Macaca fascicularis: one gene and its partner. The protein of the gene in region 2 binds, or shares a complex with, the protein of the main gene of each other region. Links are inferred from orthologs where the notes say so. Each region holds a gene or a part of one and is shown on either strand. Other genes may lie near its edges.

Evidence for each region.
Region 1: the proteins of SNTG1 (region 2) and TRPV3 are in contact, whole or in part, in a crystal structure (PDB 7QQN), measured with the Homo sapiens proteins. The link is inferred for Macaca fascicularis from reciprocal best matches to the Homo sapiens genes SNTG1 and TRPV3. Residues at the interface, in NP_001274742.1 of Homo sapiens: Arg62, Gly66, Gly67, Phe68, Gly69, Leu70, Ser71, Ile72, Lys73, Gly74, His78, Ser85, Lys86, His118, Glu119, Val122, Arg126; in NP_659505.1 of Homo sapiens: Pro786, Glu787, Thr788, Ser789, Val790.

What each region holds. Positions count from the first base shown.
Region 1 is NC_088390.1:3,554,244-3,564,951, forward strand, and holds part of TRPV3 (spermatogenesis-associated protein 22), read right to left. Parts: intron 9,985-10,708; coding exon 9,819-9,984; intron 5,995-9,818; coding exon 5,928-5,994; intron 4,181-5,927; coding exon 3,906-4,180; intron 2,053-3,905; coding exon 1,940-2,052; intron 18-1,939; coding exon 1-17. UniProt on the Homo sapiens protein: Non-selective calcium permeant cation channel. It is activated by innocuous (warm) temperatures and shows an increased response at noxious temperatures greater than 39 degrees Celsius. Activation exhibits an outward rectification.
Region 2 is NC_088382.1:60,655,797-60,666,504, reverse strand, and holds the end of SNTG1 (gamma-1-syntrophin), read right to left. Parts: intron 3,809-10,708; coding exon 3,650-3,808; 3' UTR 2,098-3,649; downstream 1-2,097. UniProt on the Homo sapiens protein: Adapter protein that binds to and probably organizes the subcellular localization of a variety of proteins. May link various receptors to the actin cytoskeleton and the dystrophin glycoprotein complex.

The DNA of each region.
Region 1 (10,708 bases), on a different chromosome or scaffold from region 2:
ACTTCACCTCATTGATCCTGCAAGTGGGATCATCATTCTTACTATTTCACCAGTGCCTCACTGAGTGCAAACAAATAACCCTGGTTTGGGACGTCCTGGTGTCTACACAGCTCCCCTTCTGTCTGTCCTGGAGATCAGGAGCACCCCTGACCCCAGTGGTCACACTAGCGTTGTTGGAGTTTGAACTCTATCCCCATCTCCATGTCCCCAGGCCTCAGAGAATCAGTTCTCCTTCCACTGTAGGGAACTCAGAAATCCTGTAAGTTGCTCAGACAGGTATAAAGGATCCAACTTCAGACAACAGCAGCTGTGCCTGACTGGTGACAGCCCAAGGGGAAGCGGGGACAGACAGGGAGGGCCCAGGCCGCGAGGGTGTGAAGATTAAACTCCAAGTGTAGCTGGGGTTGAGGAGGCACGAAGAGCCTATGGTTAGGGTCTATGCCCTAACAAGAGTGGGTGGCGTCTGAGGTGTTAGAATACAACCATAGGCATTGATGTGACTTAAATTCACATCCAGAGGTCTCTAGAGTGAGGGTGGCAACATCAGAAATGTTCGTTAGGGTAATCATTGCAGTCAGAAATGAAGCTTTCCAGGGGGTGGGGTTTCAGTCAGAGAAGTGAGTTAAGGTCATACTTAAAGAAGGTGGTCCGTGGGCTCAGGCAGCTGGGTCAGGGTAGGAGGAGGTGGGCTTATCAGAAAAGGTGGTCATGGAACCGGGCGCGGTGGCTCACGCCTGTAATCCCAGCACATTGGGAGGCCAAGGGGGGGTGGATCACTTGAGGCCAGGAGTTCAAGACCAGCCTGGCTAACACGATGAAACTCCGTCTCTACTAAAAATACAAAAATTATCCAAGCGTGGTGGCGTGTGCCTGTAGTCCCAGCTACTGGGGAGGCTGAGGCGTAAGAATCGCTTGAACTGGGGAGGCCAAGGTTACGGTGAGCAGAGATCGCACCACTGCACTCCAGCCTGGAACTTCATTTAGAAAGAAAGAAAGAGAGAGAGAGAGAGAGAGAGAGAGAGAGAGAGAGAGAGAGAGAGAGAGGAGGGAGGGAGGGAGGGAGGGAAGGAGGAAAGGAAGGAAGGAAGGAAGGAAGGAAGGAAGGAAGGAAGGAAGGAAGGAAGGAAGGAAGGAAGGAAGGAGAAAAGGTGGTCATGGGATAAGTAAGGACTTTAAAAAAAAAAAAAATCAAAAAGCCAGAGATCTGTCAAAGTAGCCATGTCACTTTCCATCTGCCAGGGGCAAAATGGGACTCAAGTCACCTGGGGTCACAGGAACTCACACAGGTAAACAGCAGGAAAAGGAGTGCCAAGCAGGCAGATCTTCCCTAAACCAGATAGCAAACAGAGAGAGACCTCGGAGGCACCTTCAAAAAGGCAGAGAGAGGGGCTGGGCGTGGTAGCTCACGCCTGTAATCCCAGCACTTTGGGAGGCCGAGGTGGGTGGATGACCTGAGGTCAGGAGTTCGAGACCAGCCTGACCAATGTGGTGAAACTCTGCCTCTACTAAAAATACAAAATTAGCTGGGTGTGGTGGCACATGCCGGTAATCCCAGCTACTCAGAGGCTGAAGCAGGAGAATTGCTTGAACACAGGAAGCAGAGGTTGCAGTGAGCCAAGATCGTGCCATTGTACTCCAGCCCGGGCAACAAGAGCAAAACTCTGTCTCAAAAACAGAAAAAAAAGAAAAAAAAAAAGCAGGGAGGGGAGCCACTGTTGGCAGTCTCCTTCTCTTTCTCTTCTGAAGCTCGGGAACCCCCATCCCAGGGCCCTATAACCCCATAAGCAAATTCCTTCTTCCGAGGAGGCCACTGGGAGAGACAGCAGCTGTGGTTATGGTGAGCAAGCAGCGGCACCGTTTCTCTAACATCTTGTCACTGACCTGCCCCTCTCTGCCCACCCCAAAGACCACAGCCCCAGGGCCCTTCCCCCTTGGTTACCGCAAACACAGTCGGAAATCTTCCTCGGCCACTCGGCACAGCTCTCCCATCCGGAATCTGCTCCTCAGCCATTCTGGTAACATTTTCTCAAACTCCAAGATGGTCCTGGCTCTCTGGGGACATAAGCAAGTCTAAGGAGTAGGCATTCACACTCACAAGCACACACAAGTGCACACACACTGTCAGTGAGCCCACTCCCCCCTCGCCCCATGCTTAACGGATCGGAAGGGTTTGGCTGATCTACAGAATTCAAAGACAAAAAGCAGGCCAGGCGCGGTGGCTCACACCTGTAATCCTAACACTTTGGGAGGCCAAGGCAGGTGGATCACCTGAGGTTAGGAGTTCAAGGCCAGCCTGGCCAACATGGTGAAACCCTGTCTGTACTAAAAACACAAAAATTAGCTGGGCCTGCGTTAGACGTCTGTAATCCCAGCTCTCAGGAGGCTGAGGCAGGAGAATCACTTGAACCCAGGGGTTGAAGGTTGCAGTGAGCTGAGATCCCTCCACTGCACTCCAGCCTGGGCGACAGAGCGACACTCCACGATATAAATAGTATTTCTGAAAGCCCAGGAGCTTCCTATCTGACAGGGCTGAGGTCCTGGAATCCCATGGCAAAGGACCATTCGAACATCATTCAGTCCCACCCCCTCCCAGGCTTGGAACCTCTCTGCTGTTTCCTGGCCATAATTTTTCCAGTCTCTCTTGAGTAGTATCAACAAACCAATTAAGAGGGCCTTGGCCAGGTACAGTGGCTCACACCTGTAATCCCAGCACTTTGGGAGGCTGAGGCAGGTGAATCGCTTTGAGCTCAGGAGTATGAGGCCACCCTGAGCAACATGGTGAAACCCCATCTTTACAAAAAAAATACAAAAATGACCCAGGTGTGGTGGCGCGTGCCTGTAATCCCAGCTATTTGGGAGGCTAAGGTGGGAGAATCGCTTGAGCCCGGGAGGCAGAGGTTGCAGTGAGCTGATATCACGCCACTGCACTCCAGCCTGGGCGACAGAGCAAGACCCTGTCTCAAAAAAAAAAAAAAAAAAAAAAAGGAGGGCCTTAATAATGAGAAACTTCCATGTGTCGCATCAAAGTTTTTCTCCCTGTAGCACCCCCATGTACCTCTGCCTTCTGGGACCACAGAAGGGGTCTGCTCCCTGTTTCACAGGTTGCTCTGTAGATATCTGAAGGCACTCTCACCTTTATCAATAAGCATTTCTTTTTCTGTTTTTGAGACAGAGTTTTCGCTCTGTCACCCAGGCTGGAGTGCAATGGCATGATCTCGACTCACTGCAACCTCCACCTCCTGGGTTCAAGCGATTCTCCTGCCTCAGCCTCCTGAGTAGCTGGGATTACAGGCGCCCACTACCACACCCGGCAAGTTTTTGTATTTTTAGTAGAGATGAGGTTTCACCAGGTTGGCCAAGCTGGTCTCAAATTCTTGACCTCAGGTGATCCACCTGCCTCAGCCTTCCAAAGTACTAAGATTACAGGGGTGAGCCACCATGCCTGGCCGCCAACAACTATTTCTTAAGAGGCAGTCTCCAGTCCTCTCCCAAACCTGGTTACCACCTCGGGACCCATCCTATGCATTGGTTTCCTCAGCACGTAAGAAGTGTTCAGGCCAGGATAGAATAGAGCAGAACTGTCACCTCCATTGTCCTAGGCGCTGTACTCCTCTTAATACAACCTAAGGTCATACTTCAACATCCATCAATCACACTGTCAACCCTGAGCACAGCACCCCTGTAAGCCTGAGTTTTTCTACACATGCCGTTGCACAGCCACACTTCGTAGACCCTACACTCAAAGAACCTAGGCTAAGGCTTCCTCAATCCTGGCCACACACTGAGCAGCTTGTGCAGATTCTCAGGCCCCACCACAGACCCACTGGTGCTGACAGTAGTCAATGACCATGTGCTGAACTGAATCCCATGGAGGCCCCCACACTGGGGTCTCCACCTAGACTCACCTGCAGGCGCCAGATACGCTCGCTCTCCTTGGAGACGTTCTCCACAGTCTCGCCCATCAGGGCAATGAGCATGTTGAGGAGCAGAACGAAGGTGAGGATGACGTAGGTGATGAGCAGGAACAGAAAGAGAATGGGATACTTGGAGTTCTGCTGGATGTTCAGGTCACCCAGGCCGATGGTGAGCTTGAAGAGTTCCAGCACCGCGTCGCTGAAGCTGCCGTAGGAGCTGCAGTCCTTGTTGTCTTTGGGACACTTCTCGATCAGTGAGGCCAGGGCTAGGGGAACATAACAGGGTGCTCTCCTCAGCTCTCCGCCTGGTGAATTACTCTACAAGCTTGCGTGTATTTGCCCACACGACAAGCCTGCTGCCTCCTTCTCTCTGGCCATTAAATCCCATCTCCAGCTTCAGGTCCTCCCAAAGCCTCATCAGGCTGGCTTCTCTGCCCTGGCCTCCTGCAGAAAGCCCTTCCACCTAACAAAGCCCAGAGTCTTCTCTCCTTCCTCTACCCCACAGTCGGCCCTTGATCACTTCCAGCCTTGCAGAGTTGCTAATTATAATCCACGTGTGTGTCCCTGGCTCCCCAGCTAGTCTTTGAGCTCCTGACTTCCTCTAGCCTGAGTCATTTCCCTCAAGGCTGTAAGATCCTGAGTCTCCTCCTAATGCTCTGTTGTGAGTTCCCCATGAGCAAGACCAGGCTCACACTTCCCTTCTTTCCAACACACCACAATAGAGGTTCACTGCTGGATGGATGGATGGATGGATGGATGGATGGATGGATGGATATGGATGGATGGATGGATGGATGGATGATTAGATGGATGATTGCATGGATGAATGAATGGATGGATGGATGGATGAGTGATTAGATGGATGGATAGATAGATGATTGGATAGATGGAGGGAGGGAGGGACGGATGGATGGATGATTGGATAGATGGATGGATGGATGGATACGGATGGATGGATGGATGATTAGATGGATGATTGCATGGATGAATGAATGGATGGATGGATGGATGATTGGATGGATGGATGGATAGATGATTGGATGGATGGAGGGATGGATAGATGGATGATTAGATGGATGGATGGATTGATGGATGGATGATTAGATGGATGGATGAATGGATGGATGGATGATTGGATGGATGGATAGATGGATGGATGGATGGATGGATGGATGGATGGATGGATGGATGGATGGATAGATGGATGGATAGATGGATAGATAGGTGGATGAGCAAATTAAATGAGAGAGTAAATAGATGGATTAATAAACAAGCAGGTGAAGGAGCAAATAAATAAGCAAATTGTGACCCAGAAAAGGTACCAGACAGATGGACACAGCTACCTAATTTCAAATGTCAATGGTCACTGAAGAAAAGAAAAAAAAGCAACTGGTATGTGGGGGGAAACGATCTCTCTATGCAGAGCTTAGAAATACAACCAGATGGTGCTGTTCCCTCTGTCGTACATGGAGAGATTTTAAGAGGGGGGGCTCCTTCCTGGTCCCAGCAGACCAGAGAGGCTCTCACAGTTATATCTAAAGCAAACTGTGAGAGCAACATGATGTGAAACCCAAAGGAAGTTGCCTCAGGGCATTACTTTGCTCCTACTTTGCAAAGACCAAGAGTCGAGTTTCTGTGGACTTTAGTTTCCCCATCTGTAAAATGAGGCTGAAAACACTTGCAGGACCTGTCTTAGGTCATGAGGGCCACATAAGCAATGAATGGGAAAGCCAGAGGTGTACACCACACAGTGAAGCTGGATTATGAGTGGCTGGCCTGGTTCAAATTCCGGAGTCTCTAAGCCTCAGCTATCTTATGATCGGGGCGACGACTCCCACTTGATCAAGTTGTTGAGAGAAGTAAAAAGGTAATGCTTGGAAAATGCCAAGCTTGGCAGGTGCCCCACTGGTAGCTGGTCTAATTGCTGCTGAGGCCACCATGTGCTTTGTCATTTTGACATCTGAATAAAGTGTTTATAAATGTGGGAGTTACTATCATTTATAAATCAATTACCTACTCCAAATCCAAGCAAAAAAACGATATATACGAACAAGAACTTCAAAACATCATGCAAAATGACCTACAAAGAAATAAACATAATTCAAGAGTAAGATATAAGCACATATTCACGGTCCCCTGATCTTCCTGCTTCCCACCCTCTCCCACCTCCCCCCTAACCATCTCCTCACTCACTTAGGCCACTCTCCCTTCCCCCAGCCAAATCCTCCTGATGCTCCAACACTCAGCTCTGAATCCCACCTCCTCCAGGAAGCCTTCTGTTTCTGCTCTAGCCCCAGGTTCTCTTCTCCCTGTGATTCACCCTGTGCCTTTCACCATAGGGTCTCACATCTGGAAGCCTCACATTCCTGGGGGCAGTGGCATGCTGGAGCCAGCTCACAACAGCTCGCAATAGCTGTTAACTTCTCATGAAGCTTGTGAGCTGGTTGTTAAACACAGCCATTATTCAGAACTAAATCAAACTTTCAGTTATACGATGAATAAGTTCTGGGATCTAATGGACAGCATGATGGCTGTAGTTAATACTGTGTTGTGGATTAGAAATTTGCTAAGAGAATAGATCACAAATGTTCTCACCCCACAAAGAAATGGCAACTATGTGAGGCGATGGGTATGTTAACTAATTTGAAATTGGGAATCATTTCATAATATATACCTATATCAAATCCTCACATTGTATATCTTAAATTTATACAATTATATATGTCAACTATACCTCAATAAAGTTGGGGATAAGGCCGGGCGCAGAGGCTCATGTCTGTAATCCTAGTACTTTGGGAGGCCAAGGCGGGCGGATCATGAGGTCAGGAGATCAAGACCATCCTGGCTAACACAGTGAAATTCTGTCTCTACTAAAAATACAAAAAATTAGCCGGGTGTGGTGGTGGCACCTGTAGTCCCAGCTACTCAGGAGGCTGAGGCAGGAGAATGGGGTGAACCCGGGAGGCGGAGCTTGCTGTGAGCTGAGATTGTGCCACTGCACTCCAGCCTGGGCGACAGAGCAAGACTCCATCTCAAAAAAAAAAAAAAAGAAAAAAGAAAAAAAAGTTGAGGATAAATTATTATTTGTATTGCCAAAAAATTAAACCATATAAAACTTACAATTAAATAAAGTAAGTTATATTTAAAACAGAGACAAGCCGGGCGCAATGACTCAAGCCTATAATCCCAACACTTGGAGAGGCCGAGGTGGGTGGATCGCCTGAGGTCAGGAGTTGGAGGCCAGCCTGGCCAACATGGCAAAACCCCGTCTCTACTAAAAATACAAAAATACAAAAAAAAAAAAAAAATACAAAGGTGGCACTCACCTTTGATCCCAGCTACTCCAGAGGCTGAGGAAGGAGAATTGCTTGAACCCAGGAGGAAGAGGTTGCAAGGAGCCTAGATCGTGCCACTGCACTCCAGCCTGGGAGGCAGAGCAAGACTCCATCTCAAAAAATTAATTAATTAATTTAATTAAATAAAACAAAGACAATAAATGTTCAAAACTCATCCCTGTCTAGTTATTTCACTATATTTACAATTGTGTGTGCTTTTGAGGTTACTTATCTCTATGATAGCCATATGGCGGGAATTCTAGAGTGGCGTGGATCTGCATGTTTCTCCCTAACTCCACGTCCAGTAACATAATGTTGGTAGCTGGAAACTGGCCCTGGGAGGAGAACAGTAGTCTGCCCTTCTCTTCGATTTCACTTTCTGCAGTTTTGGTTGCCTGTGGTCAACTAAGACCCAGAAATCTTACACACAATACAATATTCTGAAAGAGAGAGACAACACTCACCTACTTTTATTACAGTGTATTGTTATCGTTGTTCTGTTAGTTATTGCCATTAATATCTCTGTGCCTAATTTATAAAATACATTTTATAAATTCCACATAGCCAGTTGAGTCTTAAAATCATTTGTTGCTTCCCCCCACCCGCCCCCAGCACTTTGGGAGGCCGAGGCAGGCGGATCACCTGAGGTCAAGAGTTGGAGACCAGCCTGGCCAACATGGTGAAACCCCGTCTCTACTAAAAATACAAAAATTAGCTGGGCCTGGTGGCGCACACCTGTAGTCCCAGCACACCTGTAGTCCCGCTGGGGCGGGAGAATTGCTTGAGCCCGGGAGGCAGAGGTTGCAGTGAGCCAAGATCGCACTATTGCACTCCAGCCTGGGTGACAGAGCGAGACTCAGTCACAAAAAAAAAAAAAAAAGCAAAAAAGTATTCTAAGACTCAACTGGCTAAGTGAAATTTACAATAAACTGTATTGTATAGTATATTTTCATTATTTGCATAGATGTATATGTATAGGAAAAAACAGCATATTATATAGGGTTTGGTACTATCTGCAGTTTCAGGCATTCATGGGGGGTCTTCGAACATTTTCCCCAAGAATAAGGCGGGGCTACTGTATTTACATCATGAAAATTAGTAAATGCCACAAATCAGAGATTGATTGACTCATTGTTTTGTTGATATCTAGATCTAAATGATTTAAGACAGTAATGGAGAAACTATTAATCCAGATCAAATTTAAAATGTGTTCTGTCCACAGCCTTTACATTGTGTATAGCACAAAAATACCAACAGAATATTCTTCTGATATTTGCAAACTAGTATCCAATTCAGCAAAGAAGTTGCTCACATCATTGATAAACAAGTAAAGTTCAACATAAATCTTAATTGTTTTACTTTAATCACTGCTTATAAAGAAAAATCTCAACCAACATTCATATCTGAACAGCACTCTTCTGTCAATTGCAACCAAAAGTTGACAACAAAAACTAGAATTCAATAAAAAGCAACAAATAGGCCGGACGCAGTGGTTCACGCCTGTAATCCTAACACTTTGGGAGGCCGAGGCGGGTGGATCACCTGTTCAGGAGTTTGAGACAATCCTGGCCAACATGGTGAAATCCCATCTCCACTAAAAATACAAAAAAAGCTGGGCGCGGTGGCTCAAGCCTGTAATCCCAGCACTTTGGGAGGCCGAGACGGGCGGATCACAAGGTCAGGAGATCGAGACCATCCTGGCTAACACGTTGAAACCCCGTCTCTACTAAAAAATACAAAAAGCTAGCCGGGCGAGGTGGCGGGCGCCTGTAGTCCCAGCTACTCGGGAGGCTGAGGCAGGAGAATGGCGTAAACCCGGGAGGCGGAGCTTGCAGTGAGCTGAGATCCGGCTACTGCACTCCAGCCCGGGCGACAGAGCGAGACTCCGTCTCAAAAAAATAAATAAATAAATAAAATAAAAATAAAAATAAAAATACAAAAATTATCCAGGCATGGTGGTGCATGCCTGTGATCCCAGCTACTCTGGAGGCTGAGGCAGGAGAATTGCTTGAACCCAGGAGGAAGAGGTTGCAGTGAGCCAAGATCGCACCACTGCACTCCAGCCTGGGCAGCAGAGCGAGACTCAGTCTCAAAAAAAAAAAAAAAAAAAAAAAAAAGCAACAAATTATTCTAAGACTCAACTGGCTACGTGGAATTTACAATAAACTGTATTGTATATTTTCATTATTTTCAAATTGCGTGATACATATCCTTTACATAGTAAACTGTATGATAAGTGTATGTGTATACGTACATACACGTATATATATACATATTCCACCCCCACACACACACACACACAACACACACACACACACACAGAGCGGTTGTTAAATGTTTACCAGCACACCACTGCCCAGGAGTGAGAACATTCCTCCACGAAGTGTACCCCTCCCCAGCGCCCCACAAGCCTGGGGGATTTAAGGTCTGGACACGTAAAGCCTGACGGAAAGCAAAGGGAGCGCATGGCATTCGGGAGAAAGAGCAAGTGACCTGCCCCTCTTCCTCTCCAGATCTCAGTTTCCCCATCTGAAAAAGGGCCCTCCCGCCGGCACAGCTCCCAACGCACCTTCTGGATCATGACGCTGTACATGCCCATGGACTGGAACCCCCTCGTGTAGTAGAGCATGTTAGCCCAGCCCAGGGCCATGGCCAGCACGAGGCAGGCGAGGTACTCTTTGTAGGCAAACAAGTACAAGAAGACAGACAGTATCACAAGCACAGCTTGGATAAAACTGTTCAGGAGACACAGGAAACACGGGCCTTACTTACTTCTCAGCATCAGGGCAAAGATATGCAAATCCCCCAAACCTCCCTTAAACCCCCTAAGCAGTCATCCCAGTGACGGAGATCCATTTGGCTACCGTAGAATTCAGCCTGTAGAGACAGCACCAGATGCCAGTCACAGCAAGTGGTAAGCTGATTGCAGCTGGTGGGGACTTAAAAAAAAAACACGCATCCACAGGGCCGCAGAAGATTCTAGGGTGCTGCCCCGGAGGCCCTATATTTTTTAAATTACCCACACGGGCCTGGCGGAGTGGTTCACGCCTGTAATTCCAACACTTTGGGAGGCCGAGGTAGGAGAAGCGCTTCAGGCCAGGAGTTCAGGACCAGCCTGAGCGACATAGTGAGACCTTGTCTCTACAAAGAAAAAAAAAAAAAAAAAAAGTAGAAAAACAATCTAAATCACCCACATAATTTCTGATTCCCACGTCGATTTGAGAACTACTGGAGTAGACTAAAGATGTGGTAAATGATTGCATTTTTAACCAAAATGACAAAAACTGCCAATATCTATACTTTTAAGCCAATTATAACAAAAGTCCCCCAAACCCTACTTTTTAAATCGTGGTGTTTTTTTTGGGGGGGTGCAGGCAGAGACCGAGTCTTGCTTTGTCACCCAGGCTGGAGTGCGGTGGTGCTTTCTCGGCTCACTGCAGCCTCTGCCTCCCAGGCTCA
Region 2 (10,708 bases):
TAAAATATATAACATTTATAATATTTTATTTGCAAAAGCAAATTCAAATGTGCAAATAAGTGGCATTATGATTTTAAAGTATTCAGTAGAAGAATAAACAATAAAGAACAAATTTAGAGGTATGAATAAAGCAATTTCTTAAGGAGAAATTATAAGCACAGCAGTATTAATAGTAGCAAAATGTGTCTTATTAATATCCAAACGTCTACACTTACCTTAAAAAGTTAAGCACAAGATCATCCTTGTACTTTTAAAGCTTCTCCACACTGCTGATTTCTAGCAGTAATTCTAAATTATTGTTAGGATAATTAATTTTTCTCAGTAATAAATCAAGCTTTTCTTAAATCCAGCATTCAACATAGACAAAGTTCATGATCAAGCTTCAGCACTGTAAATGAGGGAAATGTTGATCTATAAACTAATGAACCCAAAGGAACATTTCTCTCCTTGCATGGCTAATACGGACTCGACATTTATTTTCAAGTAATTGCTTTCTTTTTCTTGCTGAAGGACAGCTTTATGAGAGAAGATTTCAAAATTATAAGTTGGTACACGTCTGAAATATGGGCAAGAAATAATTACCTGATTATCCTCCCATTTTAAAAAAGCTGGATAAGTGTGTTGGGGTATACATTACACATACACTAACTATTAAATTATTTTTTAAATAAATACTTGTTGCAATATAACAAATTATAAATGCCCTTTCTGTAATATGCTTCAGCTTAGATGAATTGTTATTCTTTATCAGGCAAAAGACATTGTTATAGTAGTTAGCAGTTTTCAGATGACTTTGAACTTCATTCTCTGACCTAAATAACAATATTCCCCATTAAGCTTGTGTTATGTACACCATAATGAACCATTTAATGATAACACACACACACACACACACACACTCACACATACACACATAGACACACACCCAATCACACATACATGCTCACATACACCAAGGCACTGGAGGGGTTAACACATTAGCGTTTTGCTGTTAAAATGTGCTCAATGTACAAACTAGGATTTTGTGAATAAATCTCATACATGTAAACCCAAATTATATGAGAGAGATAAATTTATATGTGTTTTTGTTCATTTCTAAGCTTTCTCATTCAAGTAGTCCAAGATATAACAAATGCCAACGACTAATCATCACATTGTAAAGAAAACATTAAACACTAATTGTTAAACTGATGAAAATGAGAATAGTATTTTGTTACTTTTTGACTGTTGTACTAATCATGTTAAATAAAAATCACGGTTTATGTTTTTTTATCAATAGTATCAAAAATAATCACAATGGTATTGTCATAAGTTTTTAATCAAACTGCATTTTACAACTTAATTTAATGTATATTAAATGTATGTACACAAAACATATTCTTTTAATATAATTAATGGTCAGCATTTGACTATATTTATATATATACACACATATATGCATATATATATGCATATGTACGTGTGTGTGTATTCTCCGAGGAGATATATATTTATACATATCTAATTGTGCACCTTTTCCTTCATAACATACATGAGCATAGACTAAATTTTCATAATATCAAAAAAATATAGCTAATAATAGATTTTTTAAATTTTGAAATTGAATGTTTACAAAATTTCACAATTTTTAAATCATTCTATTACAGGTAGGTAAACTATTGAAACTTTTTTCTTTTGCTTATGGATAATTAGCCCACGTCATATTGCCTCAGACCAGATTGTGGACACATTCATGTAACCCCAATATGGGGAACACTGAGATTCAGCTGTGGTTGGAAGCAGAAGTTCTACAATGAACCACCTGCCACAGCTGAAAATTCTAAGTTGGATGTATCCCACTGCTTTTTCTTCGTAAGTTCAGAAGTGGCCTACTACTGAAGCCTGCTTTTGGTGGGCTCCAATTTTACAATGACTGTTGTGTTTGATCAATATAGTGTGCAATCATTCTAAAGTTCTATACTAATTACAAATGTGTACTTAGTTTTATGGTCAAAATACATTACATTGAAACTGTTTATTGCAATTTGTCACAGTTCTTTGGACAAGGTATGTTAGACTCAGTTTAACATTTTCTCAGGGACAATTCTAAACCCTCACTTTTTCTTTTCAATTTTAGGTGTTTACAAATTAATCTGATGCAAAATAAATTAATGAATCATAATGAGTATAAAAACAACTAGATATTAATTTTTAAAATTAATAAATCTGTCCTTTATAGAAATCATTTTGTTTCCTTCTTGAGTGATTTTTAAAAACATATTTGGAAAAAAAGAAAATTGAATCAATTTATTAGATACTTGGTTATATCCACAAGGACACATGTAATACTTGGTTTACCTGGGAGCATGTGTACCAATAAACAAAGTTTTGTTTTGTTATTTCTTACATACACAGTTGACTTTTAAAAATATCTCAAAAAAGCTGTACTAAAGGACAGAGAATGTTTTCCATATTATACAACTAGTTGTATAATACCTGGAATCTCAGTAAATTGCACACCTCTAAGGCTTTCAAATTTCCCAGCCTTCCACATTTACATTCTTAGGACAAAATATCTAAAATAACCTGCATAGTTGACATTACTTAATCACTTTCCATGAAAAGGGAAGATAAAAATTTTTAACTTTTATCTTTAACTATCACCTTTGTTTCTAATAAAATAGTACTGAAATGGAAAAATGTCATTTAATTAGCATATATAATAGATTTGGGACTGCTTTAGAGGGACATTTTAGTTCATGATTAGCTAGTAGACTTCAGATTACAAAGAATTGCTTCTCACACCATATTTGTTTATATTATTTTCTCTACTAAAGTTTTTTGGTTCACTGAAAATTTATGAAACTTTAATTTGATAATAAATCTTCTTAGGTAAAATATAAATCTATTTAAAACCAAAGAAGAAATGAGAGGTTCATGAAATTTTCCATCACTCATAATTAAATTAATACATTATTGGCATACTTGATTGTTGGCAGCTGATAAGACATTTCAGTAACAGTGATTGAAGGGAGAATAGTCCATTCCACATTGTATCTATCATGGGTCAAAGTAATTATCCTTTCGAAGTTCTTTGGAATATTTACAATAAGATAAAAACAATTGGACTGCCAGTGTCAAATCATGGGATGAGAACACGAGGGCAAATTTACATCAGCAAATTAAAGTACATCCTTCTTTGATGTGATTTTTTTGCATGCTCCTTGCTGATTTATGGTTTTTAACTCTTTTATGTCCCTCATAATATAATGATAGGGCTTTGTTTATGACTCTGCCCAACATGTACTAGTCATACAAAATAATCTAAAATACAGAAGTAATCTTTTAATAAGTATTTTATTTATAAGTAGCTTACTATTTTTATATTACTTACATATTTCTTCAAATAATTCATTTTTGTCTCCACTTTTGGTGAAAGCAATATACTTACTGGTACAAAGCAACTGAACTTTTCATATAGTATGTTTCACAGATGTCATCCAGAATGGAAGTGTTTTTGAGGTTCCACATGACCTTCTTTTTTCTGCCAAAATTTCGATTTGCCTCCACTGCCGACTTGGTGATGTTATGGTTTCTCTAGGGTCTAAATGATGAGTAAATGTGTCCTGCTTATATAGTCATGGTGCGTGTCAATGCAGAGCTCAGTACGTCAAGTTGTATACTTTGCTTTGCTCGTGGTAGCAGAGCTGGCAGCAGCAGAAACAGTAGCTTGATTGCCTAAAAATAGAGGGTCCAAACAAGCTACCTTGGCAGCAAAGAAGGAATGAATGCAGTGAAGAACAGCAAATAAATTAGAAAATTCCAACTCCTGAAAGGGAAAGAGAAACAAGTCAGATAACAAAAAAATTAATGTCTTTAAAAATTTATAATAGCTAGATTTTAAAAAAATTTTCAATACACTTATCTAGAATCTGTGATACCTATCATATGGAAACTAATTTCAAATGTAGACATTTTTGGTCAACATGTAAACATCATAAGTATTGAAAATTTATTTCAATACATGGTGGTGGATAAGAGGTAGGGAGGACTAATCATTCTTATCATCTATGAATGTTGTTTTAGCATTGATGAATATATTTTGCCAAAATTTTACTCCTGATAATGTATAATTAAATATAAACTTGGAAGTACTTTTAAAAGTATTTTTATCTCTTTATACACACATTAGAGGATAAATATGAGTTAGAGCAATTTAAAAGTATTCTTGATTATTGTGTAGAATGAGTTAATATTTGCCATAAGAAACTGAATAAAAAAATTCTAGAAGTAAGGGGATATGAACTCTCGTAACCAGAGGATCCAAATGATTCACTTTCAAAAAATAATTCATGTATTAATTTTAATTGTGGCTGGCTGTTTAATGGTGTATGGGGCATATTTGCTAAAAAAAAATAAATAAACTAGAGCTCACTAATTCATTTTGGATTTTTAGAAATAGGTTTCCCATTAAAATACCAAAGGAAATTTGTAACCCATTTACCAGTGGCAACCAAACTATATATGTGAAAACAGAAAAAAGTTATTTCAAAATATAATTATGTCAAAATAGCTATAAAATCATAAAGCAATGCTCAGAATACATTTAGTAAGATGATGTTGCTAGTATTTTTATTAAAGACCATCAATAATCACATAAACATGTTTTAATTCCAAGGTTATTGAAAAATTAATACATTTATGTTCCTAATGAAATCAATACGATTAACTTATCACAAGGAGGATAACTAGATGGTAATAAAGAATATGAAATTTCTGATAAACTCATTGCTATTTTATTATATGTTTCACTACATATATGCAATAAAGAATATAGAATTATAATTGATATGTACATGACTGACTGTTTACAACTTATATGTGGCAGTGGAAAATATTACAAAATATTCAATACATTATGACACATTGTAACATCTGTCATGTACCAGGCAGCTATTTAAATAAAATAATTCATCTGAGGAGCATTTTCTCAGGTCAGGCAACAGGAGTACAATGAACCATAACATATATTCAGGGGTCTCTATAACATAGAAGAAATAGCTATGCTTTCTTAGTAGCTCCCTTCAAAACTTCAATATTTGATAGTTTCCTTTGTGAAACAGCAACTTGTTCTAGAGAATAGAAGAGGTTATTCATTTATTCTAATTCCCTTAGATGTTTCCACCAAAAAAGTTTTTAGTAACTCCATCATAATGATCTTAGAAGCTTTATTTATATAATAATCCACTTCATTGGCACTAGTCATATGTTATTTGTAAATAAGCAAGTTCTCTTTGCTTTAGCTCATCCTGGAAATCCGCAATTCACCCCATCATGCTTGGTGTAGCCAGGTTATTTCCCAAACAAATTTTGAATACTTTCTCTATTATCCCAAATTAAATCCACGTGATGTGAAAGGTTTGGAAATTTTGGGAAAATGTAAAATGTTCTTGCGCGTTGTTAAAAAATAAAACAACAACAAAAAAAATAAGCAATTCACTCTTGGTAAGGAGGAGAATATTGTTGAGTGTTACAAATGGGTAAAAATAGTATGGCAAATAGCTTTTTCTTAAAGGTAATTCTACCACCTCTTTATTAAAATAGAGGTTATATTTTGGTTTACCCAAAATAAACAACCCTTAAATATCTAAGTATCCAGGCATCTTTAGAAAAATGAAAATTTTCAATTATTACCACTTTGTCAATTATTTGTCAATAATTTGATATAGATTGACAGTTTAACCTTTTTATACCCGTTTTGAAGGAGTGATAGACAGGAAATAATAGCCGGTGATTAGAAGAGAAAGCAGGAGACCAAGTTGGATCCAAGTTTGGCTTTTCATTCCAATACCCACACATCTTTCCTCTTTCTCAGTGATCAGCCTTGGCAACCATTTCCACTCCTAGGGTGTCAACGATTCCTCTTATGTAAACTCACACTGCTCATTTACTAATTTCTTCTGTGAGTACTAGAACTGCATTCTTACCACCTATCAAACATCCACTGATGATGAGCATCTATCTATCCATCCACTGACAGCTTCCGCCAAGTTACAGACTTACAAGTTTCCCTTGTAAAAAAAAAAAGTCTTATGATTGTCATGATCCCTCAGATATCACTGAATATAAGCTATCTTCAAAACTGTAAAGAGTCATCCATTCAATAAAATACCAAGTCCTTCCTATGCATCCACTCTTTTTTGTTGTTAAAGTATAGCAGTGAATAAAGCAGACAAAAACAAACAAAGAAACAAAACAGTCCTGATGGGACTTACATTCCAGTGACAGGAGACAAAATGTGACTAAGGGCATAAATAAATTAAGGATAATATGCCAGAATATGACAGTTACAATCAAGAAATAAAGTGGAGGAGACAGCAAAGACTACTCAAGGGGCCGTGGGAAAGGAAAATTCATGTTGCCTTGTATATGGAACTTGAAAGGGACAAAGGAGTGAGCCATTTCCATGTTTGTGGGGAAATATTCCAGACACAAGAATTATAATTTTAAAGGCCCAGAGGTAGGGATGTTCCAGGAGAGTCTGAAGAAAAGCAAGGGCTGTTTTGTCTGAAATGGAATGAATTAAGGAGTACTTAGCAGACAATGAGATCAAAGAATACACTTAGTACGCTGCATGAGCCTTTATGAGTTTTACTATGAGCGACATGGGAAACCATGGGAAATTTTTGAGCAGATGAGTGACAAGCATTGACATAACTCAGAAAATGATGATTCTGGTTAGACTATTGAGAATAAGCTTTATGATAATTGAATTGAAAGAAGGAGGAGAAGTTACAAAGTTTCTATATGGAAATGGTTTGAATTTGGAAGTAGTTTTCAATAACTGGAAAAAAAGTGTTGCTCTGCAAATGGAGGAATTGTGGGAAAAGCAGGTTTGGAAGTAGAGATCAAGATTTTGGTTTCGGGCATGATGCATCTGAACGCATATTAGATATACAGGTGATACGTGGAGAACTGCATATATTAGTGTGGATCTAAGGGAACAATTAGAGTTTAGAATAGAAGTTCAGCTTCTGTCAGCACATAGATGGTAGGTAAAACACTGTGGTCTGGATGAGGAGATCAAGGTGTGCAGGATAGGTAGAAAAAATGACTGAGGACTCATCCCTGCGATTCCACAGTATAAAAATGTAAGAAAGATGGAGAAGAACCAGCAAAGAAGGAATAGCTGTAGTTGTGAAGAAAGTGAGAGTAAAAACCAGGAGTCTTGTAAAATGACAGCTGGAAATCGACCATTGAATTTAGCAACACAGAGGCCATTTTAATTCTTTACAAGAGTCCTTTTGTGGAGAAGTGGAAACAAAAACTTCACAGGAATGACTTAATGAGAGCTTGGGTTTGAAGGTGTTAGAGTTACTACAGGTAAGTCTACCACAGGCAGCTTCTCTTTGAAGAAGAAATCCTTCTTTTCCTTTTAAAAGGGGGCATAGGAATATATCAGTAGGAAATCAAGAATGTTTTTCCAAGGTTTATGAAATTAGTACATATTTGTTGAATTGCTGGCACGAAATAGTTGAGCTCTCAAATCTGAGGACAATTGTAGAAACCGTACTCTTGAGAAGGGTGAGATCTGGTGCAAAAGTAGAGAGGCTGGACATGGATGGAAACCTGGACAATTGATCTGAAGCGGCAGGAGGTAAAGCACAGTATATGGGCACCACTCAAGGAAGGAGGGTAGATTTGGCGGTGTGTAGCTTTCATTCATTCTGTGTTTTAAGTGGGATACAAAGCAAAGTCATATGCTGACAGGATAAAGCAGGAAGTGTTGAGAATTTGGATAAACACTAATTTATAGGTGTTATTTTAGGCACACAATCTGGAATTTATCTTCCTCATTCTGCTTGCTCCTTAAAAGTTTTTAACTCATTTATGCCTGAGACTGCAATTTTTTGAATTTTTGCAATCAGACCTTGGTGATGACCTTGAGAAGCAGAATATAAATAACTCCACATGCTTAGCATTTCAGTAATAGAACGTTAGGCATAAGTGGGTCAATAATCCTTTTTTTTTAATTATTATACTTTAAGTTCTAGGGTGCATGTACACAAAGTGCAGGTTTGTTACATATGTATACATGTGCCTTGTTGGTGTGCTGCACCCATTAACTCGTCATTTACATTAGGTATATCTCCTAATGTTATCCCTCCCCCCTACCCCTCCCCACAATAGGACCCAGTGTGTGGTGCTCCCCTTCCGGTGTCCAAGTGATCTCATTGTTCAATTCCCACCTATGAGTGAGAACATGCAGTGTTTGGTTTTCTGTTCTTGCGATAGTTTGCTAAGAATGATGGTTTCAAGCTGCATCCATGTCACTACAAAGGACACGAACTCATCCTTTTTTTATGGCTGCATAGTATTCCATGGTGTATATGTGCCACATGTTCTTACTCTAGTCTGTCACTGATGGACATTTGGGTTGATTCCAAGTCTTTGCTATCGTGAATAGTGCCGCAATAAACATACGTGTGCATGTGTCTTTATAGCAGCATGACTTATAATCCTTTGGTTATATCCACAGTAATGGGATGGCTGAGTCAAATGGCATTTCTAGTTCTAGATCCTTGAGGAATCACCACACTGATTTCCACAATGGTTGAACTAGTTTACAGTCCCACCAACAGTGTAAAAGTGTTCTTATTTCTCTACATCCTCTCCAGCACCTGTTGTTTCCTGATTTTTAATGATTGCCATTCTAACTGGTGTGAGATGGTATCTCATCGTGGTTTTGATTTGCATTTCTCTGATGGCGAGTGATGATGAGCATTCTTTCATGTGTCTGTTGGCTGTATGAATGTCTTCTTTTGAGAAGTGTCTGTTCATATCCATTGCCCACTTTTTGAAAGGGTTTTTTTTTTTTTCCTTGTAAATTTGATTGAGTTATTTGTAGGTTCTGGATATTAGCCCTTTGTCAGAGGAGTAGATTGCAAAAATTTTCTCCCATTCTGTGGATGGCCTGTTCACTCTGATGGTAGTTTCTTTGGCTATGCAGAAGCTCTTTAGTTTAATTAGATCCCATTTGTCAATTTTGGCTTTTGTTGCTGTTGCTTTTGGTGTTTGACATGAAGTCCTTGCCCATGCCTGTGTCCTGAATAGTATTACCTGGGTTTTCTTCTAGGGTTTTTATGGTTTTAAATCTAACATTTAAGTCTCTAATCCATCTTGAATTAATTTTCATATAAGAAGTAAGGAAAGGATCCAGCTTCAGCTTTCTACTTATGGCTAGCCAATTTTCTCAGCACCATTTATTAAATAGGGAATCCTTTCCCCATTTCTTGTTTCTCGCAGGTTTGTCAAAGATCACATGGCTGTAGATGTGTGGTATTATTTCTGAGGACTCTGTTCTGTTCCATTGGTCTATATCTCTGTTTTGGTAACAGTACCATGATGTTTTGGTTACTGTAGCCTTGTAGTATAGTTTGAAATCAGGTAGTGTGATGCCTCCAGCTTTGTTATTTTGACTTAGGATTGTCTTGGCAATGTGGGCTCTTTTTTGGTTCCATATGAACTTTAAAGCATTTTTTTCCAATTCTGTGAAGAAACTCATTGGTAGCTTGATGGGGATGGCATTGAATCTGTAAATTACCTTGGGCAATATGGTCATTTTCACAATATTGATTCTTCCTATCCATGAGCATGGTATGTTCTTCCATTTGTTTGTGTCCTCTTTTATTTCACTGAGCAGTAGTTTGTAGTTCTCCTTGAAGAGTTCCTTTACATCCCTTGTAAGTTGGATTCCTAGGTATTTTATTCTCTTTGAAGCAATTGTGAATGGGAGTTCATTCATGATTTGACTCTCTATTTGTCTGTTACTAGTGTATAAGAATGCTTGTGTTTTTTGCACTTTGATGTCGTATCCTGAGACTTTGCTGAAGTTGCTTATCAGCTTAAGGAGATTTGGGGTGGAGAGTTCTGCAGATGTCTATTAGGTCTGCTTGCTGCAGAGATGAGTTCAATTCCTGGATATCCTTGTTAATTTTCTGTCTCGTAGATCTGTCTAATGTTGACAATGGGGTGTTGAATTCTCCCATTATTATTGTATGGGAGTCTAAGTCTCTTTGTAAGTCTCTAAGGACTTGCTTTATGAATCTGGGTGCTCCTGTATTGGGTGCATATACATTTAGGATAGTTAGCTCTTCCTGTTGAATTGATCCCTTTACCATTACGTAATGGCCTTCTTTGTCTCTTTTGATCTTTGATGGTTTAAAGTCTGTTTTATCAGGGACTAGGATTGCAACCCCTCCTTTTTTTGTTTTGCATTTGCTTGGTAGATCTTCTTCCATCCCTTTATTTTGAGCCTATGTCTCTGCATGTGAGGTGGGTCTCCCGAATACAGCAAACTGATGGGTCTTGACTCTTTATCCAATTTGTCAGTTTGTGTCTTTTAATTGGACCACTTAGTCCATTTACATTGAAGGTTAATATTGTTATGTGTGAACTTGATCCTGTCATTATGATATTAGCTGGTTATTTTGCTTGCTAGTTGATGCAGTTTCTTCTTAGCATCAATGGACTTTACATTTTGACATGTTTTTGCAATGGCTGGTACCTGTTGTTCCTTTCCTTGTTTAGTGCTTCCTTCAGGATCTCTTGTAGGGCAGGCCTGCTGGTGACAAAATCTCTAAGTATTTGCTTGTCTGTAAAGGATTTTATTTCTCCTTCACTTATGAAATTTAGTTTGGTTGGGTATGAAATTCTGGGTTTAAAATTC